2 linked regions of the Stegostoma tigrinum genome follow. The protein of the gene in region 2 binds, or shares a complex with, the protein of the main gene of each other region. Links are inferred from orthologs where the notes say so. Each region holds a gene or a part of one and is shown on either strand. Other genes may lie near its edges.

Region 1 (7,787 bases), on a different chromosome or scaffold from region 2:
TGTAAGGATACTAGTGATAGTGGGTCATGTCTTTTTGTGGCTAGTTGATGTTCATGTATCCTGGTGGCTAGCTTTCTGCCTGTTTGTCCAATGTAGTGAACGTCATCTACAAAATACCTTGCAAGAACTGTGACAAACACTAAATTGGACAAACAGGCAGAAAGCTAGCCACCAGGATACATGAACATCAACTAGCCACAAAAAGACATGACCCCTCTGGGTCATTGTGAGCTTTATCCTTACACCTCCAATAATAAACATCTAGCCTTTTGTTTTAGAAAGTTAATCTCTGTGTTTTGTTTTCTCTTTTCCCCCTGAACAGAGGCAGGGTTGGGGGGCTGGTGTTGTTGGAGAGATGGAGTGCATGCGTGCGAGAGAGGGTCAGTGAGAGTTCTGAGGTATATAGAGGGACAAACATATGTATTTATTTATCACTGATTATGTCAGCAAATTATTGCATCTTTATTAAATACTTTTTAATGACAAATCAATAACTATTTATTAAAAAGCCTTGTTGATAGATCTTCTGTTTGAAAACTTAATAGACCTGAAATATTCAGTCATCTTAGTAACAGGAAAACTGGCTTGTATGTTATGCTGTGATCCATGGAGTAATGGGACTAGTTTCCAATACCAATCACTCCTGCCTTTACATGCTACATTTTCTCCTCATCCCCATGCATTGCATTTAAAATCATTTTCCTCAATTGTTAAATAAACTAGCAACATCGTCCACTTGTTTTGGGAAAGTTCCTATCAGCACAGACTCTGATTTTAATTCTAGCCTCCACTGCATGTACCACAGTCAAAGACAGGGCCTTCAGCCATCTATGCACTGTATTCAGGAACCCGCTACTGAAGTCTTTCACCTCAATGCACCTTTCTCAACCTTTCAGAAGACTCTCTCGTGCCTAAGTCTACCCTTTGGATCACCGTCTACCATTCTTCCCCTACCATGCTAAATTGCCCGTAGTGTTCAGGGGTGTGTGGGTTATAGGGGGATGGGTCTGGGTGGGATGCTCCAAGGGGCGATGTGGACTTGTTGGGCCGAAGGGCCTGTTTCCACAATGTAGGGAATCTAATCTAATCTAATCTAATATCCTCTACAGGTAGAAAGAGGACAGGAGGGTTAGGGTTTCAGCAACTTTGTTGTAGGAAAAAAGTAAAAGTGCCTGGCCTAATTTTGCCGACTTCATTCAGCTATTGCTCTTGTCCTGAAATACCAAAGGGAAAGTTTGAAATATCATTGCCACAATTATTGTTGTTACTAATGTCAAGACAATCTTGCTCTACTATCAGCCAAACTGCAAAAAAAATTCTGATGAAAAATGTCGACAAGCTTCTCTCTCTGCACAGATGCCGCTAGAGCATTTCCTCATTTTGTTTCCATTTCACAGTTCTAACATCTGAAGCATTTTGTTTATGCAGTGAAAAGGATTTCCTAATTTTAAAAAAAAGTTGAACTGCAGGTTTGGTGACTGAACCATGAAAAGTAGCATGAGAGTGAGGCTTTGCAAATGCAGTACTGATGCCTCAAACGACTGAATGTGCATTGAACGTGGAGAGTAGCAGCAAGATGCAGCTCAAATAATGTACCAGGAGGCAATGTAGCAAAAGACAGAAGTACAGAAAATAGGATCAGGCGCAGGCCATTCAGTCCTCTGAATCCACTCTGCTGTTCAATATGATAATGGCTGGCCCTCCAACTCAGTCCCTTTGCTCCCTTTCACCACAAGCTCTATATCTAACTCCTTTTTAAAAACATTCAACATTTTGGCCCGAACCACCTTCTGAGGCAGAGAATTCCACAGGCTCACCACTCTCTGGATGAAGAAATTTCTCCTCACCTTGATCGTAACTATTCTAACCCCAGATCCTTAGACTGTGATCTCTGAGTCTGGGCTCCCTGCTTGTGGGGAACATCCTTCCTGAATTCACCCTGTCTAGTCTTGTCAGAATTTTACAGGTTTCTATAAGATCCCCTGTCATTTCTCTAAACCACAGTGAATATATTCCTAACAGAATCCAATGTCACACCGTAGACGAAGGGTCCTGCCATCCCAGGAATCAGGTAAATGAAACAGGGATTGATAATCTTCTTTATTTATTCCAGGGCAGCGCCCTGCAGAGACGGAGTGGCCACAGCTTTGTTCTAATAAAAATTAAAGAGGAAAAAACGTAAAATTAAAGTGCTTTCGCCACTCACCATCCTTGGTGCCCGCTCCAACAAAGTGTCCCAGAAGCAAGCAGCTGCAGCCAGTTGTCACAGTCTGTCAGAGGGCCTGCTCTCTCCCTCAAACTCTGAGCAAACACCACACTCACACCTCACTCTCTGCAGTCACAGCTCACACTCACTCACCCCCCACACTCCTCTTCCACTCACTCCTCTCATTCACAGCTCACACTCACTCACTCACTCCTGTCTCACTCAGTCCTCTCTCACAGCTCACTCCCCTCTCACAGCTCACACTCACTCCTCTCACTCACATACTCCTCTCTCTCACTGACTTCTGTCTCACACTCACAACTCACACTCACTCACTCCTCTCACTCACACACTCCTGTCTCACACTCACAGCTCACACTAACTCATTCCTCTCTCACTCACTGCACACACTCTCTCACTCCTGTCTCACACTCACAGTTCAGACTCCTGTCTCACTCACAGCTCACACTCACTCACTCACAGCCTCCCACTCCTGTCTCACTCAGAGCTCACACTCACTCAGAGCTCACACTCTCCCACTCCTGTCTCACTCACAGCTCACACTCTCCCACTCCTGTCTCACTCACAGCTCACACTCACTCACTCACAGCCTCCCACTCCTGTCTCACTCACAGCTCACACTCACTCACAGCTCACACTCTCCCACTCCTGTCTCACTCACAGCACACACTCTCCCACTCCTGTCTCACGCACTCACGGCCTTCCTTGCTCCGGTGGGTGGGCTGAACCAAACAGATGAACACATCGAAGTCCCGCCTCGAACAGCGGAGAAAGTTATCTTCCTGACAGCGGCCTCATGGTCTAATTCGGGGGGGGGGGGGGGGGGAGAGAGAGAACGGACAAATAATCAGCACCAAATAACACCCGGCGGGCGGATTGGAGAGGGGTGGGGGAGGGAGGAGGAGGAGGGGTGGAGGTGGGGGAGGAGTGGAATGGGGGACGGAGGAGGGGAGGAATGGGGGGATTGGGGGTGGGGGAGAGTAGGGTGGGGGGGGAGAGTAGGGTGGGGGGGGGAGAGTAGGGTGGGGGGGGGGAGAGTAGGGTGGGGGGGGGAGAGTAGGGTGGGGGGGCAGAGTAGGGTGGGGGGGGCAGAGTAGGGTGGGGGGGGCAGAGTAGGGTGGGGGGGGCAGAGTAGGGTGGGGGGGGCAGAATAGAGGGGATGGGGGGGTGGAGTGTGGGGGCAGAATAGAGGGGATGGGGGGGTGGAGTGTGGGGACAGAATAGAGGGGATGGGGGGTGGAGTGGGGGGGCAGAATAGAGGGGATGGGGGGGTGGAGTGTGGGGACAGAATAGAGGGGATGGGGGGTGGAGTGGGGGGGCAGAATAGAGGGGATGGGGGTGGAGTGTGGGGGCAGAATAGAGGGGATGGGGGGTGGAGTGGGGGGGCAGAATAGAGGGGATGGGGGGTCGAGTAGGGGGACAGAATAGAGGGGATGGGGGGGTGGAGTGGGGGGGCAGAATAGAGGGGACGGGGGTGGAGTGGGGGAGGACAGAATAGAGGGGACGGGGGTGGAGTGGGGGGGTAGAATAGAGGGGACAGGGGTGGAGTGGGGGTACAGAATAGAGGGGATGGGGGAGTGGAGTGGGGGGGCAGAATAGAGGGGGAAGGGGGTGGAGAAGGCGGGTGAGGGGCAGAGTGGGGAGGGGGTGCAGAGCGAAGGCAGGAGAGGGAGTAGAGTTGGGGGGTTGGGGAGGCAGAGTGGGGGATGGTGGGTGCAAAGTGGGTGGGATGGGGATGGGGGCAGAGTGAGGAATGGAGTTGGGGGAGGGGTAGGAGTGGAGGGGTGCGGAGTGGCGGGGGAGGTGTAGCGGGACAGAGTGGGGGAGAGGGGCGGAGTATGGGGGAAGGGGATAGTGGAGGAGTTGCAGAAGAGTTTGGTGGGAGGGAGGGGTAGTAGGGGGGCGGGATATGGGTCGGGGAGTGGAGGGGCAGAGTAGCGGGTGGGTCGGAGTAGTGTGAAGTGGTGGGGAACAGAGTAAGAGGTGGGGATGCGGAGAGGTGGAGGGTGTGTGCAGAGTTGGGGGGAGTGGAGTACTTGGGAGGGGAGGGGGTGCGGAGTAAGGGTGGTGCGGAGTAGGGGGCAAGTGCAGGTGAGGGGGCGGAGTGGACTTGTGGCGTGGAGTGGGGATGGAGTGGAGTAGGGGGAGGGCGAGTGGGGGTGGGTCAGTGTAGTGTGGAGTGCGGGAGTGGAGTGGGGGCAGGGGGTGAGGCGTAGTTGGGGGGAGGGGTGGGGGAACGGGATAGGGCTACGGGAGTGGGGAGCAGAAGGTGGGAAAGGTAAGGGCTAGGAGAGGGTGGCCGGAGATGGGCGTAGGGCTCAGGGTCGTGGCGGAGAAGGGGGTGGACAACAGGAGGGACGGGTTTGGGTCAGGGTCACTGCTGTCGGATGGGGAAGGGCCAAGTGAACACAAGAACAGCCTGAACCCCCCCCCCCCACCACCACAGGGGTAACCCTACCCACAAGACAGATTCCACACTGCTCCCACCCTCGGAGGGGCTTAGCCTTGGGGCAGGGGCATCTGCCACCCGTATGGGGACATTGTACACCTCCAAGCAGTAAAGATGAGGTGGAGATTAAAGCTGAGCCAGGAATTTTTGGGGTCAGGGTGGCACAGAATCAGCTTCAAGAACCACAGGCATAAAATCAGAAAGCGTGCCCTTGGACTAAAAGCGTTAACTCTCACTTCTCAAAGCAATTTGGAAATTCTCCATTGATAATGGGAACTGCAGATGCCGGAGAATCCGAGATCCTAAGATGCTGCTTGGCCTGCTGTGTTCATCCAGCTCCACACTTCGTTATCTTGGAAACGCTCCATTATTTTGTTTTAATTTCCAATCTCCAACATCTGCAGGATTCTGCTATTGAAGATCCACCAGCTAAGTGGCAACAGTCACAGGATTCTAAGAAAAGTCACAGGGATTTGGAACTGCTCAGGGAGATCATCCAGAAATGGACCTGATGATGTACAAGTTGTGCCCAGTAACACTTGGACAATGGCACGGACATAGCTGTGATATAACTAAGGTATTTGTAATGATTACGACTGAGTTTTTTTTCCTTTACTCATTCACGAGATGAGGGCATCACTGGCCAGGCAGCATTTATTGCCCATCCCTAATTGCCCAGAGGGCAGTTCAGAGTCAACCACATTGCTGTGCGTCTGGAGTCACATGTAGGTCAGACCAGGTAAGGATGGCAGTTTCCTTCACTGAAGGACATTAGTGAATCAGATGGGTATTTCCAACAACTGACAACGGATTCACGGTCATCATTAGATTATTAATTCCAGATATTTATTGAATTCAAATTCCACAGTCTGCCATGGAATTTGAATTTATAATGTGTCACGACAAGTAGGACAGAGAAAAGAGAGAGGACGACACTTAGGACAGAAAATGATGGAGCACTGTTGGCCAAAAGGGAAGAATATTTTTCAGAAAACTAATGATAACTAATTATGAGCATTGGTACAGCAACAAAATCCTGGCATAGAATTGTTTGAGCAATTAATGGGGAAAAAAGAAGCACATTGAACAACAGAATTGAAACGTGCCCCTGGTAACTGCCTTAAACTATAACCCAGAACATAGACCATTTGGCCCGGCCCTCTGTTTGTTTTCTGCTTTGGCTTCAGTGAAAACAGGTAAATAGCTATCTTATAAGAGATAACAAAGTGTGGAGCTGGATGAACACAGCAGGCCCAGCAGCATCTCAGGAGCACAAAAGCTGACGTTTCGGGCATAGACCCTTCATCAGAGAGGGGGATGGGGTGAGGGTTCCGGAATAAATAGGGAGAGAGGGGGAGGCGGACCGAAGATGGAGAGAAAAGAAGATAGGTGAAGAGGAGATTATAGGTGGGGAGGTAGGGAGGGGATAGGTCAGTCCAGGGAAGACGGACAGGTCAAGGAGGTGGGATGAGGTTAGTAGGTAGGAAATGGAGGTGCAGCTTGGGGTGGGAGGAAGGGATGGGTGAGAGGAAGAACGGGTTAAGGAGGCGGGGACGGTTTTGGGATGCAGTGGGGGGAGGGGAGATTTTGAAGCTTGTGAAACCCACATTGATACCATTGGGCTGCAGGGTTCCCAAGCGGAATATGAGTTGCTGTTACTGCAACCTTCGGGTGGCATCATTGTGGTACTGCAGGAGGCCCAGGATGGACATGTCGTCTAAGGAATGGGAGGGGGAGGTAAAATGGTTCGCGACTGGGAGGTGCAGTTGTTTATTGCGAACTGAGCGGAGGTGTTCTGCAAATCAATCCCCAAGCCTCCGCTTGGTTTCCCCAATGTAGAGAAAGCCACACCGGGTACAGTGGATACAATATACTACATTGACAGATGTGCAGGTGAACATCTGCTTAATATGGAAAGTCATCTTGGGGCCTGGGATGGGGGTGAGGGAGGAGGTGTGGGGGAAGTGTAGCACTTCCTGCGGTTGCAGGGGAAGGTGCCGTGTGTGGTGGGGTTGGAGGGGAGTGTGGAGCGAACAAGGGAGTCACGGAGAGAGTGGTCTCTCCGGAAGGCAGACAAGGGTGGGGATGGAAAAATGTCTTGGGTGGTGGGGTCGGATTGTAAACGGTGGAAGTGTTGGACGATGATACGTTGTATCCGGAGGTTGGTGGGGTGGTATGTGAGAACGAGGGGGATCCTTTGGGGCCAGTTGTGGCGGGGGCGTGGTGTGAGGGATGTGTTGCGGGAAATGCAGGAGACACGATGAAGGGCGTTCTCGACCACTGCCGGTGGGAAGTTACGGTCCTTGAAGAACGCGGACATCTGGGATGTTTGGGAGTGGAATGCCTCATCCTGGGAGCAGATGCGGCGGAGGCGGAGGAATTGGGAATAGGGGATGGAATTTTTGCAGGAGGGTGGGTGGGTGGGAGGAGGTGTATTCTAGGTAGCTGTGGGAGTCAGTGGGATTGAAGTGAACATTAGTTTCTAGCTGGTTACCTGAGATGGAGACTGAGAGGTCCAGGAAGGTGAGGGATGTGTTGGAGATGGCCCAGGTGAACTTGAGGTCGGGGTGGAAGGGGTTGGTGAAGTGCTTTGGAACCCTGCAGCCCAATGGTATCAATGTGGACTTCACAAGCTTCAAAATCTCCCCCTCCCCACTGCATCCCAAAACCAGCCCAATTCGTCCCCTCCCCCCGCTGCATCACAAAACCAGCCCAGCTCGTCCCTGCCTCCCTAACCTGTGCTTCCTCTCACCTATCCTCTCCTCCCACCTCAAGCCACACCTCCATTCTCCATTTCCCACCTACCAACCTCATCCCGCCTCTTTGACCTGTCCGTCCTCCCCGGACTGATCTCTCTCCTCTCCTCTCCACCTATCTTCTCCTCTATCCATCTTTGGTCCACCTCCCCCCCTCTTCCTATTTATTTCAGAACCCTCTCCCCATCCCCCTTTTTCTGATGAAGGGTCTAGGCCCGAAATGCCAGCTTTTGTGCTCCTGAGATGCTGTTGGGCCTGCTGTGTTCATCCAGCTTCACACTTTGTTATCTTGGATTCTCCATCATCTGCAGTTCCCATTAGCTATCTTATGCTCCCTTTCCTTCTCATAAATGAC
Region 2 (7,418 bases):
CCCTCCTTGTCCCCCGTGTCAGCCAATATTATCAATGTTTCCCTGTCTTCATGTGTTGTCTCTGCCCCTGTAAATCTGCCATTACCACTCCTCTCTGAAAAAAAGTCATCCTTTGATAGTAACATTCTTCAAACTACAGCTTCATCTTGACCCTCCGTATCCTCTCCAAAGTCCTTGAATATTTTGTCACCTACCAAACCTGTACCAATGGTTCCCAGAACTTCATGTTTTAATTTGTTCAGTCGGGTTTCTGTCTCACCATAGCGCCAAAATAGCTCTTATCAAAGTTATAAATGACATCCAGTGTGACTGTGACAAAAGTAAATATCACTCCTGATTCTCCTGCAGTCTTTCACAAGGTTGACTATGCCATGCTCCTCCAGAGCCTCTCTACTGTGAGCCAAGTAAGTGGGACTGCTCTCAATCAGTTGCATTCTTATCTATCTTATTGTATCACTTGCAATGGTTTCTCCTTCTTCTGTCATATTTTTATCTCTGGACTCCCCCCACCACCCCCCCAGCCAAAAGAATTTATCCTGACCTTTTTTTGTATGCATGTTGAAAGCACAGAGTAGGTTTTCACAAGTATGCCAACAACAATACAACGTTACCTCACCATTACCTTTTTCACCTTCTCCACAGTTGCTAAACTATCAGACTGCTTTAGCCGACATCCAGCACTGGACAAGCAGAATTTTTTTTCCTATTATGTATTGGTTTGACTGAGGCTATTGAACTTTGTCCCTTCTTTAAAGTTTGCTCTCAAGCTACTGACTGTGTCCCTTTCCCAGTCAACAGTTTGAGACTAAACCAGATTGTGGTCAACATAGTTGACTTAATGGCTGGAGTGCAGTACAGAACAATGCCAATAGTGTTAATGCAATCCCTGTTTGGGGTCTGATAGTTCATGAGTCCTGCCTCCTCATTTGCCCTCCCACATTTGAGAAGTGGTGCCTCTCAAGCTACACATAACTAATTGTCTCACTCTAAGGGAGAGATCCAGTTCAGGTCATTTGTGGACACTGGTTAATTAATTATCCTTCCCCACTGGGTGATTTTCCAACGATATATTTGCCCATTGTTTAGCCCACCTTTCCCAACTTCTGTAAAATCATCTGAATGTGTCAGTCTCAGCTCATCTGCTGATGATAGTCTCATTCAGGTCGTTGCTACCTCTAGAGTTGACTACTCCATTGCTACTGTGGCTTCCATTGTGGCTCCCTCCCACATGCTGCCCTTTATAAACTTAAAGGCATCCAAAACTCTGTTGTCTGTATCTTAACTCACACTAAGTCTCCTTCCTTTACCAGTCTTGTCATCACTGACTCACATCAATTCAGAGTAATGCAATGTTTTGATTTAACAGTTTTATCTTTATTACAAATCCCTTTACAACTTTGTAATTGGCCAGACATTTCCTTATCGTAGAACCCAAAAAGTGCAGAAAGAGGTCTTTCAGCTCATCAAGGCTACACTGACCCTCCAAAGAGCATCCCACCCAGATTCAGCCTCCCACCCTCTTCCCATAATTCTCATTTAGCACAGCCAATCCACCAATGTAACCTGCACGTCCCTGGACTGTAGGAGGAAACCCAGCAGAAACCCACAGGGAGAATGTGCAAACTCCACACAGACAGGTACTCAAGACTGAAATCAAACCCAAATCTCTGGTGCTATGAAGGCAGCAGTACTAACCATTGAGCCACTGTGCTGACCCAAATGTTATGTTGCTTATTATCATATTTTGTTTTTTAATGCCCATATGAAGTGTCTTGGCACATTATATCATGTTAAAGGCACTATATAAACATCAGCTGCGGGAATACTGGCACAGGTATAGGCAATTCAGAACATCCAATATGCCCACGAATAGATTAGATCTTGGCCATCCTTCTACCTCGTTGCCACTTTCCTACTCTGTCTTCATATCTCTTAATGTCATTAGTTTCAGAAACTGATCAACTTCTGTTTTGATCATGCATACTTCCATAACACTCATTCAGAGATTCACCATCCTCTGAATGAAGAAATTGCTGCTGATCTCAATCTTAAATGGCTTACCCTTCATCCGGAGTTTATGTCCCCAAGTTCTTGAGCCACCAGCCAGTGAAGGCATCCATTTACATCCACCCTGTAGAAATTTCATAAATTTTAATAAAATCACCTCTCATTCTTCAAAACATTTGTTGTTGTTGTTTGATTTGTGGAGGCTATGGGGGTGAACTGAATCTTGCCCTTATATAATATTTGTATTTGCACTGTTTCAATAAGAAACAGAAGAGGAACAAAGTCTGAATTTCTCCTCTTTGACTCAGGACTGCTATTGTGACGTTCATATTGACTCCTCCCACATGCTGCCCTCTATAAACCTGAAGACATAGGTTCAGAAATGGAAATTTGAAACAAATCTAAATCCAGCTAAAGTCTAGGAAATTTCAATTTTCAATCTAAAGCATGATCACGTGGGTGCCATTTCCATTCATGTCAGCTATCCAATTTGGTAAGTAGATTTATATCCAAATGCCAATAACCCTCTAGTGAGTACACAAATCTAAGCAACAGCAAAGGACAACTGGTTCCTAATAAGATATAAATGTTGAGACAGATGTATAGATTAATGAGAATGGACAAAACGAGGAACATGAGGGTTTCAGTGAAGATTGTGAGGGCATTGATGAAAGTAGCTGAGAAACGAGAGAAATGGTATTGATGAAAGAGGGAGGAAATGTGGTGAGACAAGTGAAGAAGATGGGCTGGCCAAGAACAAAGAGAAAAGGGAGTCCTAAGCCTGTTGAGAAGATGCAATGAGAGACTTAAACACAGTGAATTGGAATGGGAATGGGTGACTGACAGAGAAAAAAACAGACATGAGTGCTCAAGTACCAAAGTAGGAAGAGCCTAGAAGAGGAAGAAGTATTGTTTTGTAGATTGGTTCTCGGCTGGTTTTAAGTAGCACAGTTGATATTACCAGCTACAGTTTGCAATCAAGAAAATTTAAAACACAAACGCAGTTCCTGAAAGTGATATCAGCCAAGAAACTGAGTGGAACGGGTGACCCAGTTGAAGGGTTTTCATATTTATGATAAAATAGAACTTTTTCTAACATGTGGCTGTAATTTAGAGTAATTGCTTTTACAAAGGGGAGGGAGAAGAAATCCAATGCTAATGTTGCTTTTCTGTTTGCCCATTGTGTTTATCTCTTTTTTCCTAGGTAGTCTCTCAGGATTGAGGGTCACTTTCATGCTTGAATAGTTGGGAAGATGAGTTGCATGCAGGTTTGTGCACTACATCAGGCAGCTTGACCTTTGGTCTGTGCACATTCTCGATGAAGATTCTTGAAGTATCTAACAAAACTTAATACTACTTATCCCAAATTTACTTTGTTTCAATGTTTGAACATTTCAATTCTACATTTCTGGATTTTTTTCTTATTCCTTAACAGATATATTACAGTGTTTTTTTCAGATTTTACAATACTTTTCCACTTTGATTGATCACATGCAGGTACACCATGAGTTGGGAATAATGTTTGACTCTGGGATGCTTTGAGGGCATATGCTGTCCATCTGGGATTATCCAACTCCAAGCAAGCACAAAATAGAGTGGTTGCTTTGGGTGTCTGGTGTCAGGCAAGTGCAGCATATGTCCCATCAAGTGGAGCAGCTTTTGAATTATTTTCAGCTTAAGGCTGGACAAACTGGCTTGGGAGAGGATGCTGCTGTTGGACCTTCTTTCTTACCACCAGTTTTGGAGGACCACATAAAAGGTGTTACTTCTCCAGTCATTGGAGGTGCCTGATGTAAGTTGTTCAAGTCTCCAAACCATTTCGGAGGAGCACAGAGCTGCGCAGCAAACCGTGACCTTTATCTCGAAGGGTCACTGGAGCCGAAACGTTAACTCTGCTTACTCTCCACAGGTACTGCCAGATCTGCTGAGTTTTCCAGCAATTTCTATCTCTGCACCTTTATATTGGATTTCAGATACTGATGTTCAAAACGCTTTTCTTCAGTCAGCTTATGTCTGAGCTGGTAGTGGAACCAGTGATGAACTCAGCAATCTATGCTGGCTTTCATGGAGAAAGCTCCTAATAATCATTCATCCGCATTTTCCAGGATCTTAATTGATTAGTGGGATGGTACTGTGAGGCCCAGTTGAAAGAGAATCTGTTTCGGTGAAATTCGTACTGAGAGGTGTAATTACTGTCCAAACTAAAGAAACCCTCCCACCCCGCAAAGCAATGAGCCTGAAACAGCTGCGATTGGAAAGTTGTGGGTAACTGGGGTGGGCGGAGCAACGTGCGTGCTGGCGTCCCAGGAACGCCGTGACGCACGTCTGTCGTTCCAAACACGACGTGAGGTTTGAGAAGCGGCGGCCTTGGTGGGGGTTGGTGTATGACGTGCTTCGCGGAGCGGGGCCGTGGTCTCCTGGGGAGCGCGGTGATATTATGGGATGTTAGACCTGGAGGAATGGCGCTGGGCGCGTGATTTTGAACAAACACGATCGGTCTCCCGGTGACGAGCGCTGTGTGTCTGGTAACCGGGGCCGCCAGCGCCGCCTCAGGCCCCAGGCGGCCGCGATCCTTCTCCATGCCGCCCGCTTCCAGCTCCGAGCGGCCCGGAACCCGCAGCCGGTGAGTATCCGTCAGCGGCACGGCTATGTTTATGTCAGGGAACGCTGCACCGCTCTGCCTTCTTGGCCCCGACGAAACTGGGGCTGGGCGGCTTCGGAGCACCGGCTGATGGCGGCCGGGCTGGATTGAGAGTGCAGCCCCCTATCTGGACTGAGGCCGGGAGGGTGTGGAGCCCCCGATCTGACTGGGGCCGGGGGCTTCGGTCGGTTTGACGACGACTTTCTGCCTTGTATGAGGTGCCTTCTGTTGAAGTTGTCCGCGGTGTTGTCAGTGGCCTCACTGACTGTTTCCCTCTTTCTAAAAGACTCTCCTCCAGTAATGGCTCTTTGATCGTCCTCTCGCCTTCATCCCAATCCCCCCCCTTATCCCCTTTTCTGTTTCTTTCCCATGATGTCGCCTTAATTTGTTTGAAACTACTTCCACCACCACCGCCCCCCCAGCCACCACTGCCGTCCAGCCGTGCGTTTCGTTTTCTTTTTGCTGTGTTAAACTGTGTTGTTTTTAATATTGTGTAACTTTAATGCATTTCTGAAACTGAAAGGTTCACGTCGCTCTTATAACTCTGGGTTTGTAAAATACATTTGCAATAGTGACTCCTTCGAAGATGACCTACGATCAGATTTTTTTTAAAAAAAGAAACCAAAATAGCTACTGGATCCTGCCTGTATTTGGTCTGAAGCGGTATCTGTAATTTCTGTTTCGCAGCGGTGACTGTTCATCGCGGAGTTTAATCTTGGCTCCTGACTGATCTCCCCAGTTATAAATTTCCCCGGACCCTGGGATCATGATCCCAAAGGGCTTTGTACTGTCAGTGTTCTCAAGAACGGGCAGTATCACAAAGCCCAGGGTCGAATTTTTTTGTTGTTGTGCTGACCTTATACAGGAACCATTTCTTTAAGCCCCGCCAGCGATTTGAACGGGAGCAAGAAGTGCATTTAGATGTTGAAGAACATATCTGAGATTTTGTTTCCAGCAGGTAGATTGCTGATTTGTAAGTTGTTTGTTGTTTGAGGAGGAATGCGCCAGGGCATCAGGCTGAACGTTTGTGGGGTTTGTTCGGCAACTGTGGTATTTCCTGTTAGTTTTTTTTCCGCGGTTTTTTCGTATGATTTTTGTATATCTCCCAGTCTCGCTCAGGCCCTGCCTTTCTGTGGAAATGTGATGACGAGGTGAAAATGGCGGACCTTTCGAAATGCAATCCCTGCCTAATTATACACCCGAACCTAGTCTGAAAAGCCCGAACCGGCTTTGGGCTCTGCCCAGCCTCTCAAACACAAAATGACACATTCTCTCTCTTCACACCCAGATGTCACGCTTGTAACACTTCAGGTTTCTCTGCCAAGCATAGATAGCTCGGTTGCAAAGGCCTGCAGTTCTCCTTTTGAGATCGTTTGGAGAGACGTGGCTCTCTGAAAGATACAGTAAGATATACCCAGATTCCGCCTAACAAAAGATTACGTCTAGAAGTTGTCTAGCCATTTAGTTTACCTGGTCAAAGTACAATGTAAAATCATTCACATGACGTATGTAGGATTTCTAACGGCAAGCATACTTTGCGATATTTCTATTGAGGTTTTTCATCAATAAAGATAATTATCAAATATAAGTCATGCATAAATGTATGTCGCAAAAATCTTCATTCTTTGATCTTTTTGCTCTACTCTGCTGCCGGTTATGTTATTTACAGCGCCCCCTCCCCAATATTAAAAATTAACCAGTTCCGCCCCCTTGTCCTCCCAGAACACGGCTAAGTTGTCATCGTCAGATTCATAACTGTACAAACGCGAACAAGATTCCAGTCAACCTGTTTAGGAATGTTGTTATACACCTCTGGAACAGGTGTGACTTGAACCTGGGCGTCATGGATACTGCATCCTTGACTATCAGCTCTCTGTTCCAGGTTTGGAGGCTGTGATCCTGTTTCTCACTTTGTGTTCACTGTGGGAACGATTGCTCAGCTCCAATTTTTCACCTTTGTAATGTCGCAAAACATCTGACTTGAAGGATGGAGTAGGAAAACTTACGGGAGTTGGAATAAAGTGCTGCTGAGGAGATGTGTTTTAATGGTGAAAAGAAATATAGCAAAAAGCAAGGTAGATAGAATATTGCAAGATAATACAGACACGATGGGCTAAATAGCCTACGTTGTATCATTCTTTTGATCGCTAATGGTGGAATGTAATATAGAAGGGATCATGATGTGGGTAGAAGTTGAAATATCAGCAAGTGCAGACAAGGAAAGAGGGCTGGGGAAGGATGGGAAGCTGGAATTACAAGGAGGACTGAAAAGAAGTTGTGCTTCTGTCTAGTCACCCATTGAGATGCAATTGTTTGTGTGGTAACTTGTTGGCATGTGACTGCTATTTTATCCACAGCAAGCCTTCGCGAACATATGTATGATAAATGATGATTAATTTATCTGTTGGGCTCAAATGGGAGACCACTGACCACAGTGGGAGACGTTGAATTGTTTGGACTGATCAGGGTGTGGTGCGTCAGTTTTTCTAGTGTAGATTTTGCTTTGCTAGAGACTAGTTATGCAGTAAAAAGTTTTTAAACTGAAGTAGAAACTTTTAATAGAAAGTCCTGTGTGAGGCTTGCATACATTCCAATCTCTTGAAAGTAAACAATACATCTTTTTAAAGTTAATGTAAACACCTGCTTGGTCAACTGAGCTGTGTAATGCCTCTGATGTTCGGTGAAAACACTGACAGACCATCGAATGCTAAGGAATATTGCTCAATTTATACAGGGGAGAGGGGGAGGATAGACACTTTACCATTGATTT

What was found.
Region 1: lin54 (region 2) and transcription factor Dp-2-like share a complex: the UniProt entries of both Homo sapiens proteins name them as parts of the DREAM complex. The link is inferred for Stegostoma tigrinum from reciprocal best matches to the Homo sapiens genes LIN54 and TFDP2.

What each region holds. Positions count from the first base shown.
Region 1 is NC_081367.1:73,714,267-73,722,053, reverse strand, and holds the start of transcription factor Dp-2-like, read right to left. Parts: upstream 3,009-7,787; 5' UTR 2,207-3,008; intron 1-2,206. UniProt on the Homo sapiens protein: Can stimulate E2F-dependent transcription.
Region 2 is NC_081354.1:77,504,582-77,511,999, forward strand, and holds the start of lin54 (protein lin-54 homolog), read left to right. Parts: upstream 1-4,415; 5' UTR 4,416-4,630; intron 4,631-4,837; exon of another isoform or gene 4,838-4,859; intron 4,860-7,418. UniProt on the Homo sapiens protein: Component of the DREAM complex, a multiprotein complex that can both act as a transcription activator or repressor depending on the context. In G0 phase, the complex binds to more than 800 promoters and is required for repression of E2F target genes.